Linked DNA regions of Cricetulus griseus. The protein of the gene in region 1 interacts with the protein of each later gene in a pairwise test. Links are inferred from orthologs where the notes say so. Each region holds a gene or a part of one and is shown in the gene's direction. Other genes may lie near its edges.

Region 1 (4,294 bases):
CAACAGGTAGCTTTCAAGTTTCTGCAAAGTAACCTAGTCAAATTCTATCACAGCCCACATACACCAGAACTTCTGCTATCTACAGCAAATCTAGTAGAAACAAGGTTATGTACCATGTGACCACCACCAGAGAGCAAATGCTGTGATTCTGCTTTGACAGACTATGCCACTTGAACAGACTTTGGGGACTTACTGGGGAATTTTATGTGATAAAGTTTTTCCTCAGTAACAATTCTCCCTGGTTTTGTTGCTTGTTTTGTTTGTTTGTTTACCTCTTTAATATTGAGGGATTTGGGAATCCATTAAAGGGCATATGTGTGAACATCTCAAACCCAATCATTTTTAGCAGGTCTTAGTCACAAGAAGTTCCTAGTCTGCTGTCCAGATACAATCTTACACAACTTGCAGGATGCCCGGTGCATTTTTAGACACAATTCAGAGGTTTTGTCTATAACCAAGGGGAAAGGATTGTATAGGGATGTGAACCCCAGGAAGGGATCATGGGTCTCTTATAAATTGTCTGCCATATTGGGTGTCGAGTCTTATGTCCTGGTCTGCCTTAGCTTCATCAGCTGCAGACCAGTGAGAACTGGATAGACAGCTGCATCCAGGGACAGAGCCCAGATGCAGTCCCATGTGCTATCAAGGCAGAGACTGGTAATGGAGGTAGAAGATGAGGTCTTAGAGATGAAGGGAACACAATAGAACACAGTGTGAGTGAAGAAATGTACTAGGAGTACATTTGGTGCTGGGCAGTACCAAGTCTACTGCAGCACAAGCGAAAGAGATCTGCAGATCTGGGGCCACCACAGGATAAACTTAAAGGAACTACATTGAGTCTATCTGGCCAAAGGTCCTTCTGAAGAGAGCGCTCTGAAGAGGCAAGAGTGGGTGGCCTGGGTTTCCTAGGGACATCTCTTCCATTCATTTGGCAAATTCAAGGCTGGTGGAAGTGTTCCAGCCCACTCTTGCCTCTCCTTCAGCTTGGCTTCTTTTTTTAACATTTAAATATAAATGTTCTTCCTCCCACAGCATTTTGAAGTAATTCAAGGGCTTGAGGGTAACTGGTTTTACTGCCATCTGCTTTCTCCTCAAGCTGCCAAACATCAGTTTTCTCCTTTCTTCAAGCGGATCAGGCACCTTGCAGGTGGTGGTCTCCTAGCTATCTCCAGCCAGGTGACTGGACGTTGTGACGACTTGACGGAGTTGAGATAAACATCCATGTTTCGGGTGCCTGGTCCTGGGTCAACAGACTGGCTCACGCCGAGAAACACTCAGGTTTAGGCATGCGCAGACAGCCTGGCAGCCATTTTAAGGGCTTACCGTACTACAGGAGTGACCACCGCGCAGGCGTACACGGGAGACTTAACCCGCCCTCACCCCAGCCCTTTGCACGCATGCGCGGATTAGCCGGAAGGGGCGGGATTAGCCATTGCGAAGCGGCTGCGCCTTGGGAATGCCGGGGTGGGGCGGGGCGGGGTGACTGTCAGCTGACTGAGGCGCAGATTGCCTCGCGGGACAACGGTCGGCGACGCAGGTTGAGGTGGGGGCGGAAGAACTCTCCCGGCGGGTCTCTGTGCGGTCGGTGAGGCACAGGGTCGCCGTAACATCATGGCGACCACCGTCAGCACGCAGCGCGGGCCGGTGAGTCCACTGGGCGAGGGCCGGACTGGGGCAACGCAGCCTGAGATCGGGCTCCTCTTGTCAGCCCCTCGTGGGGCCCCTCGCGAGTTGCTCGGCCGTCCCGGAGCTGTGCGGGTCCCACCTTCGGGTACCCAAACGGAGTAGCGACTCTGGTCCTGAGGGTCTCGCGGGTGGAAGAAGGCAGAGCTTGATGGTTCTTTGGATGCCCACGGGCCCTGAAACCCCTGAATCCCTAGAGGGGCCCTGAATCCCTTAGTCCTCCACACAGAGGAACGTGACCCCATTGGTTCCCCATACTGAGAGGGACCCCGACTCCCCTTAGTTCCCCGGGTGGAAAAAGGGTCCCGAACCCCTTACTTCCCCAGATGTATACCAACCCCTTGGTCTCTCAGATGGACATGGGCCCTGACGCTTGGTTCCCCAAATGGAGAGTGGTCCTGACCCTGTTAATTTCCCAAACTGATAGTCTTGGCTCCCATGATCTCTCAGAGGAGTGGGGCCTGACACTCCTCTGATGTTTCAGAGATGGTGAAAGATCCCACTTTGTAATCAGCTCTTAGTTGTGTCAGTTTCTTCCTCTCCCTGCTCCTATAGAGAACAGGGTTGCTACCTCTTGAGCCCGGTTAGTGGCTACCTTTCCAAGTCTCAGTTGTTCATCTATAAATGAGGAGAAGGGAGCAGAAAACGTGGAAAACCAACAGTGATGGCTCCTAAGGGTTGTCTTGGGGTCCACAACACTACCTGTCTCTCCTACCTCTAGTGTGGATGTCCTCCCAGTAGTTCTCTGAGACTGATATGAGTTGGATGTTGTTAGCTAACAGTGGTTATGTGTGTAGAACACAGTTCTGATGGCTCCATTGTCTTTTCCCTGAAGTTATTGAAAGTGTCTGCAAAGCCTTTGGTTTCCCAGGTCCCTCACCCTGACAGCTTGGTGTTGACAGGTGTGTGTGTGTGTGTGTGTGTGTGTGTGTGTGTGTGTGTGTGTGTGTAACAGATAAATCATTGGGGTAGATGACTGATTTTCTGACTTTGAAGAAAGCCCCAGGCAGGGTGCTTTTTTGGAGGGCTTTAAAGCCAGACTTCCTGACCAGAGTTGGGGTTACCTTCATGTTCAGCAACCCTTCTTCATCCTCACTGTGTCTCACCAAACTACAGAAGATTGCTAGTGGCTGACAGAAGAGGAAGGGAGCCAGTACTTTGCTCTTTTCCTATCTCCTGCCAAGTGGACACAGGGCCAGGCAGAGTGGACCGTTCCTTACTGTGTGTCTGAGAGTGCCTTTACTTCTGTGGCTGGACTGCATTTGAATTCATCTGATGGTGAGCTTAATGTCCGTCATTAATTGAGTAAGAAGGTGTCCTCCCGTGTTGCTGAGGGAAACTCTGGTGCTGTGTGTATAGAGCTGGGGTAACCCACGCTGTGATGAGTAATTGGGAGTGTCGGGTGACATTCATACTAGCGCAATCTGTGGAGTCAAGTCCTGACGCTTGATCTTTCTACTTGCCCAGTGTTCTAGGGACCACAGAGTCTTATAAATAAACATAGACAGCTGAATGGTTTTTTAGGAGCACTCTTGATGACTTGTAATATTGTGTCTGGACTCTAAGAAATTGTCATCAGTGACAGATATCTTAGACTTTGCTTGGGATGTATTATTGGCCACAGTATTTAGAGCAATTGGACACTGAGTCAAAAGTGTGGAGCACAGGGACACAGCTATGCATGGTGACCCATATAAAGCCAGAAAATAACAGTCACCATCAGGTCTGTGCTCTTAATCATTGAAAACAGAAAGGTATGGACTTGGTGTGGGAGGAGTGAATGGGTTATGGCCAGGGTCTCTTAAAGACTAGAAGATCTTGAACTTGATCTGGTAAGTGCTGTTTCTTAGAGTGCATGCCTTTTACAGTTTTCAGCTTTTCACTGGCTGCTTCACCTAGAATGATCTACCTATATGCCTCTGGATTCATTAATATTTGCAAAGGTTTTTTTAGCCAGTTGTCAGGGTCTAGTAGAACTGTCAAGAGTGTGGTAGTTCTTCCCTACTATTCATGTCATACTCAGGGTTGTGGAGCTGTAAAGATAAACAGAAGTACACATTTGGTCAGTACTGGGTACTATTGGCAGCCTTCTTTTTGTAACCGCAGCAGGGGGTTAGGCTATGGTTCAGAGTCCCCTTCCCAGGAGCCTGGACTAGGCTTGGGCAGTTGTCTCTATAGCTGACCTTCACCTCTGATGAGTGGGGAAGGACTGACAGTGTCTTGGGAGGCTATAGAAGGCTGAGGACACTCTCATCTGGGCTAGGAGGGTTCTCTATTCTTGGTTGAGGGTTTGGGATGGGGCAAGTATGAGGAGGAGAGCCAGAACCCACATAATTGTGAAGGAATAAGTTTTTCCCTGGGACATTTGGTATTTTACGTTTTTTTTTTGTGTTTTGTTTTTTTTGTTTTGTTTTGTTTTGTTTTGTTTAATAGCCACTATAGGGCACTACAATCTTTCATAGCCATCTCACTTTTGAAAATACTGGTATTTTGAAATTACCCCTTTTGCTACCCAGTCTGCACACCTGCTCCTTTCCTACAGTAGTGGTTTTTTTTTTTTTTTTTTTTTTGCGGGGGGTGGGGTGGGGGGGTGGGGGGGTCCGAGACAGGG
Region 2 (4,283 bases), on another chromosome or scaffold:
TCTGACTCTTTACCTTCTCTTGGGACTCTTTTCCTCCAATTAGCTTGCCTTGTCCTGCCTCAGTATGAGAGCTTTTGCCTTGTCTTATTGTATCTTGGTTTATTGTGTTTGGTTGTTGTCTCTTGGAGGACTTCTCTTTTCTGAAGAGGAACATAGGGGATATGGGCTAAGGAGGAAAAGATATGGGTAGGGGAGCTGGAAAGAGTAGAGGGAGGAGAAACTATGGTCTCAATGTATTGTATGAGAGAAGAATATATTTTTCAATTAAAAAATCAAATTTAAGTGAATCTAGCTCACATTACCTTAGCCTAATTACAGAGCCCTGGATAATATCTGTTACTGACAAAACTTTGAACTTTCATGAAGATCTGTGTTCTACTTGAATTTTCTTCTCAGAGTTTAAAAAAAAAAAAAGAAGCATCACTTATGTAGTCTTGAGTTTAGTAAAGGGTTTCAGGTTACTTGTTTGAGGTACCCATTTTTTAAAAGGATAAAAGGAGTGGAACAAAATTAGCCCAGGGGAGTTAGTCATGACCAAGGAGAAACCAAGAGTGATCACAACAAAATGTCTCAGGGGTAATTGAAAAGCATTACTTGGGGTGTGGGAGTACATACACCACGATGATGAGGAGGAAAGGGGTTATTAGCTAAGCCATTGTCCAAAACCCACTGAATCACTGGTCCCTTTCAATCATGATTGGTCCCTCTTTTTCTAAAGATGGGTTTTAAATGTTAGGAGACGATTTGAAGAACAGAACTAAGAAAGAAGGGGACACAGATCTTACAAAGGAGCAAGGTAAGATATCAAATCTTTGCTTTGATATTTTAAGAACCAAACTCCAATACAAGACCGTGGTCACCCTGGTGTGTGTGTCCATGTTGTGAAATACTGGGAAATTTTACAAGTAGAAGCAAGGGATAAGACGTTACAGTATGTATCACTACTGCTTTTTACCTTCTCCATTTCCTGGATTAAAAAAACAATGCTGCAACCATTACAGTTAATCCTCATGAATATTATTTGACTTCTAATGGAAATTTTCTCTTTGGCCTGGGACTGTTAGATCTTTGTTGTGATACATTTTTACTGCAGGCATTAATAACAAGGAAACAGTCAGTTAATCCCAGGCAGGGGGCTCCATGGATTGGAGGATGCGTTCCCTTCAGTAAGAGGCTAACAGTGATAATGGCCACAACACCTGCCACTAAATGAGCTTTAAGACCAAGAAAACAATTTTCCCATAAATATCTATATTGAGAGATAGTCACAAAGATAAAGTTTGTTACTTTGAGCCATAAAATGTTAAGTAAATAGAGAGAAACTTACTCAATTTGACAATGCCATCTGATGAATCTTGCCATGCCTTTATTTTTGTCATGAAATTTTAAGCAAAGAGTATCTTCTAAAGCTAAGTATTACAACTCATCGTGTAGGTATATCATCTGAAAAATGAAAATTTTAATTCTTCTTGGACTCATAGGAGCTACATCAGCAGCTCCGGTAAGTGGTTCATGATATTTTGATTTCATCACGTACACCTGTGCATTTCCCCTCCTTCATCATTTTTCTTCATTTTCTTTTTAGCTTGTCTCACAGCGCCTATTGTCTGCTAGCAACAGTCATGAGGTTAGTTTAAGTAATTAAAGCATTCTACTGTGTTCTGTAGGTGAAAACACGTTGTGAAGACATAAAAGCCTGCATCCAGACCACTAGGTATTTCCAGGCTGCTTGGTTGCTTTGTCTTCCAGATGGCTTCTATAGAGTTGTTTTGTCTTCTTTGTGTAAACATAAGTTCTCTAAACGTTGTATCATCTGTATTCTTTGTTCCAGTAGTTCTAATGTAGGTACTAAATATATGAAATTCCAAAAACATGAAATACCAAACCACTGGGTTAAGCTAAAACTGTGCAGTCTCATTGACTTTGATCATCCTCCATGGGAGGCCTCACCTTCCATGACGAGTGGATGGGAGTGGGATGGAGAGATGGTGGAGGAATGGGAGGTCGGGAGGGAGAGGGAACTGGGATTGGTATGTCAAATAAGACTGGTTTTAATTTAAATAAAAATTATTTTAATAAAAGCACTATTTTCCATGAGTAGGAAAGAAATTGAGGAATGCAAATACTTAGGAATTAAAATGTTCAAGCCATTGTTTGTATGCCATCTTCTTACAACAAACATGACTATTCTTTATTGACAGCAATCATGAAATTACAATGCAAACAACAACAGAAAAACTTGAACCTTGTTTTCAAATCTAACCACTAATCACTGTAATTCAATGCTGTCTTACTGGAAAAATGTGTCACTTTGGACTGGAAGTGGATTAACTAGCTCTGATTTGTGCTCTCTCTAGAAAATATTTCAGAGTACATAGTCATCATTTTCCCATTGTCTCTCCTTTTCCAGTTACTCCTGGGTCTAAATAATGGTCGACTTTTGCCACTGCAATTTCAGGTACTACTATGTAAATAATCAGTTCAGAGGGAATGTATCTGTAATGAGCATTTCTTATGGCATGGGATGAGAACAAAGTGCATCCATTTATATTGCTAAGAATTTGCTATGTGCTGACACTAATTCTGAAGACTTTTGAGATAGTTAACTATTTTAAACAAAGTCATATCTAGCTACCCAAGAGGAAAAAGAAAAGAAAAATTAAATACAGTCAAACTTCTGAAGAAATGTGTGCTTTTTTACCAACTCTTCGCATTCCATATTTCTCATGACAGTTGAAAACCTCTCAATTTGTGAGGATCATAAGCAGTTGAAATGTTATCTTTTCATAAGACTTGAAATATATAAATTGCCTACATTGTTGTCTTTATTGCTCAGGTTTGATTTCAAGTTCTTTTTTTAAATATGAAAGAATAATATTTCCTTTCTATCTTTGTTTTTCACAGGGTGCTTTTAACCCCTGGATTCCTCCCTTCCCTGGGTTTCTGCAACAGCAACAGCAGCAGCAGCAGGCTCAGGTCCCAGGACTCCCACAGTTTCCACTCTCAACATTAGAGAGCTTGGCTGGGCTATTCCCAAATCAGATACCTTTCTCAGGACAGGTTGGATTTGCCCAAGGAGGTCAGGCTGGCCAACCAGATCTCTCACAGCCACAGACACCACCACAAAGCCAACAGGTTGCTAACCTTGTAAGTTGGTCTTCTTCCATCTTGCTGCTATAAGACAGAACATGAACGCTATCATTAATTAGCTTTGAAATATGGCAGGGGTCTTACTAAGTCTTATTTCTCCTGTTCTGTTTCAAACAACACTGAAAATATCTTCTTATATTTTCTGATTTTTTAAATATAAAAATAACATTAAAATCAATTACCCTAGAATATAGTCATCATTCAGGAGCTAAAACAACATGTGGATGCATAATTTGCATAAATTATAACTCATGCAGAAGATAAACCTTAGTGGAATATTGCTAATGCAAATGGTACATGGGAAACTAGCTCTAGGAAAATTAGACTAAGAATTTTAACAGGTCAGATATAATTTGCTTATATGGTTTTCTGGTTTTGCTTGTTTGTTTCCTTCAGATGTCCTACATGGTTCCCTTCAAAGTGCCCCAAGATCAAACACAGGTGAGTGAAAAGAATTCCATGACTGACACATAAGTGGCTCATTGCACTCTCCATAGCACTTCATCTTGTTCCCTGGGTCTCCAGCATCAGGGCTTTCACACCTGTGGGCCACCCATCACTGGCTAGAGGTTCCATCACTGGCTTCTAGACATCTGCTAATGCTGGACTTACTTGATTCTTTAAGAACAGGCAGCTGAAAAGGATATCTAGCACCCTTGAGTACCTATGACATCACTATCAGAAGGGAAGGAGTTCAGTAAAGCCAGTACATGTCTTCTCTGTATTTAAGTGCCAACACTGGGGAACAACTAAAGAGTAATACCATGAGTGAACTTTGTACCCTCTCAAATTTGGTTTCAGAGAATCTTATATTTATATCTAATATGTAGATGTAAATAGCACACATTGTAGTAATAATATTTTTATTATAAATTACACTGATATACATTATTCATCTGTTATAAAACTCCCCTGAACACTTCCCCAGCCTCTTGTATGCAGTATTTATGATTTGACTCCACATTATAATTAACTTAAAAATTTCCCTTTAATAGGAAAAATTAAATTGATATTAGCTAATAAATTTGTGATGTTAACATAAAACAGCTTGTTGATACTAGGAAAACTAACTGTTTAATATCTCATAATCAAAGAAACAGGGCTATATATAAATTGTTATTCACTTGAAGACT

What was found.
Region 2: the proteins of Tollip (region 1) and Odam interact in a two-hybrid assay, tested with the Homo sapiens proteins (2 studies listed by BioGRID and IntAct). The two-hybrid records come from large-scale screens. The link is inferred for Cricetulus griseus from reciprocal best matches to the Homo sapiens genes TOLLIP and ODAM.

The regions. Positions count from the first base shown.
Region 1 is NC_048596.1:59,283,299-59,287,592, forward strand, and holds the start of Tollip (toll-interacting protein), read left to right. Parts: upstream 1-1,484; 5' UTR 1,485-1,611; coding exon 1,612-1,644; intron 1,645-4,294. UniProt on the Homo sapiens protein: Component of the signaling pathway of IL-1 and Toll-like receptors. Inhibits cell activation by microbial products. Recruits IRAK1 to the IL-1 receptor complex. Inhibits IRAK1 phosphorylation and kinase activity.
Region 2 is NW_023276807.1:153,070,262-153,074,544, forward strand, and holds the start of Odam (odontogenic ameloblast-associated protein), read left to right. Parts: upstream 1-1,450; coding exon 1,451-1,501; intron 1,502-1,585; coding exon 1,586-1,627; intron 1,628-2,410; coding exon 2,411-2,458; intron 2,459-2,904; coding exon 2,905-3,147; intron 3,148-3,546; coding exon 3,547-3,591; intron 3,592-4,283. UniProt on the Homo sapiens protein: Tooth-associated epithelia protein that probably plays a role in odontogenesis, the complex process that results in the initiation and generation of the tooth. May be incorporated in the enamel matrix at the end of mineralization process.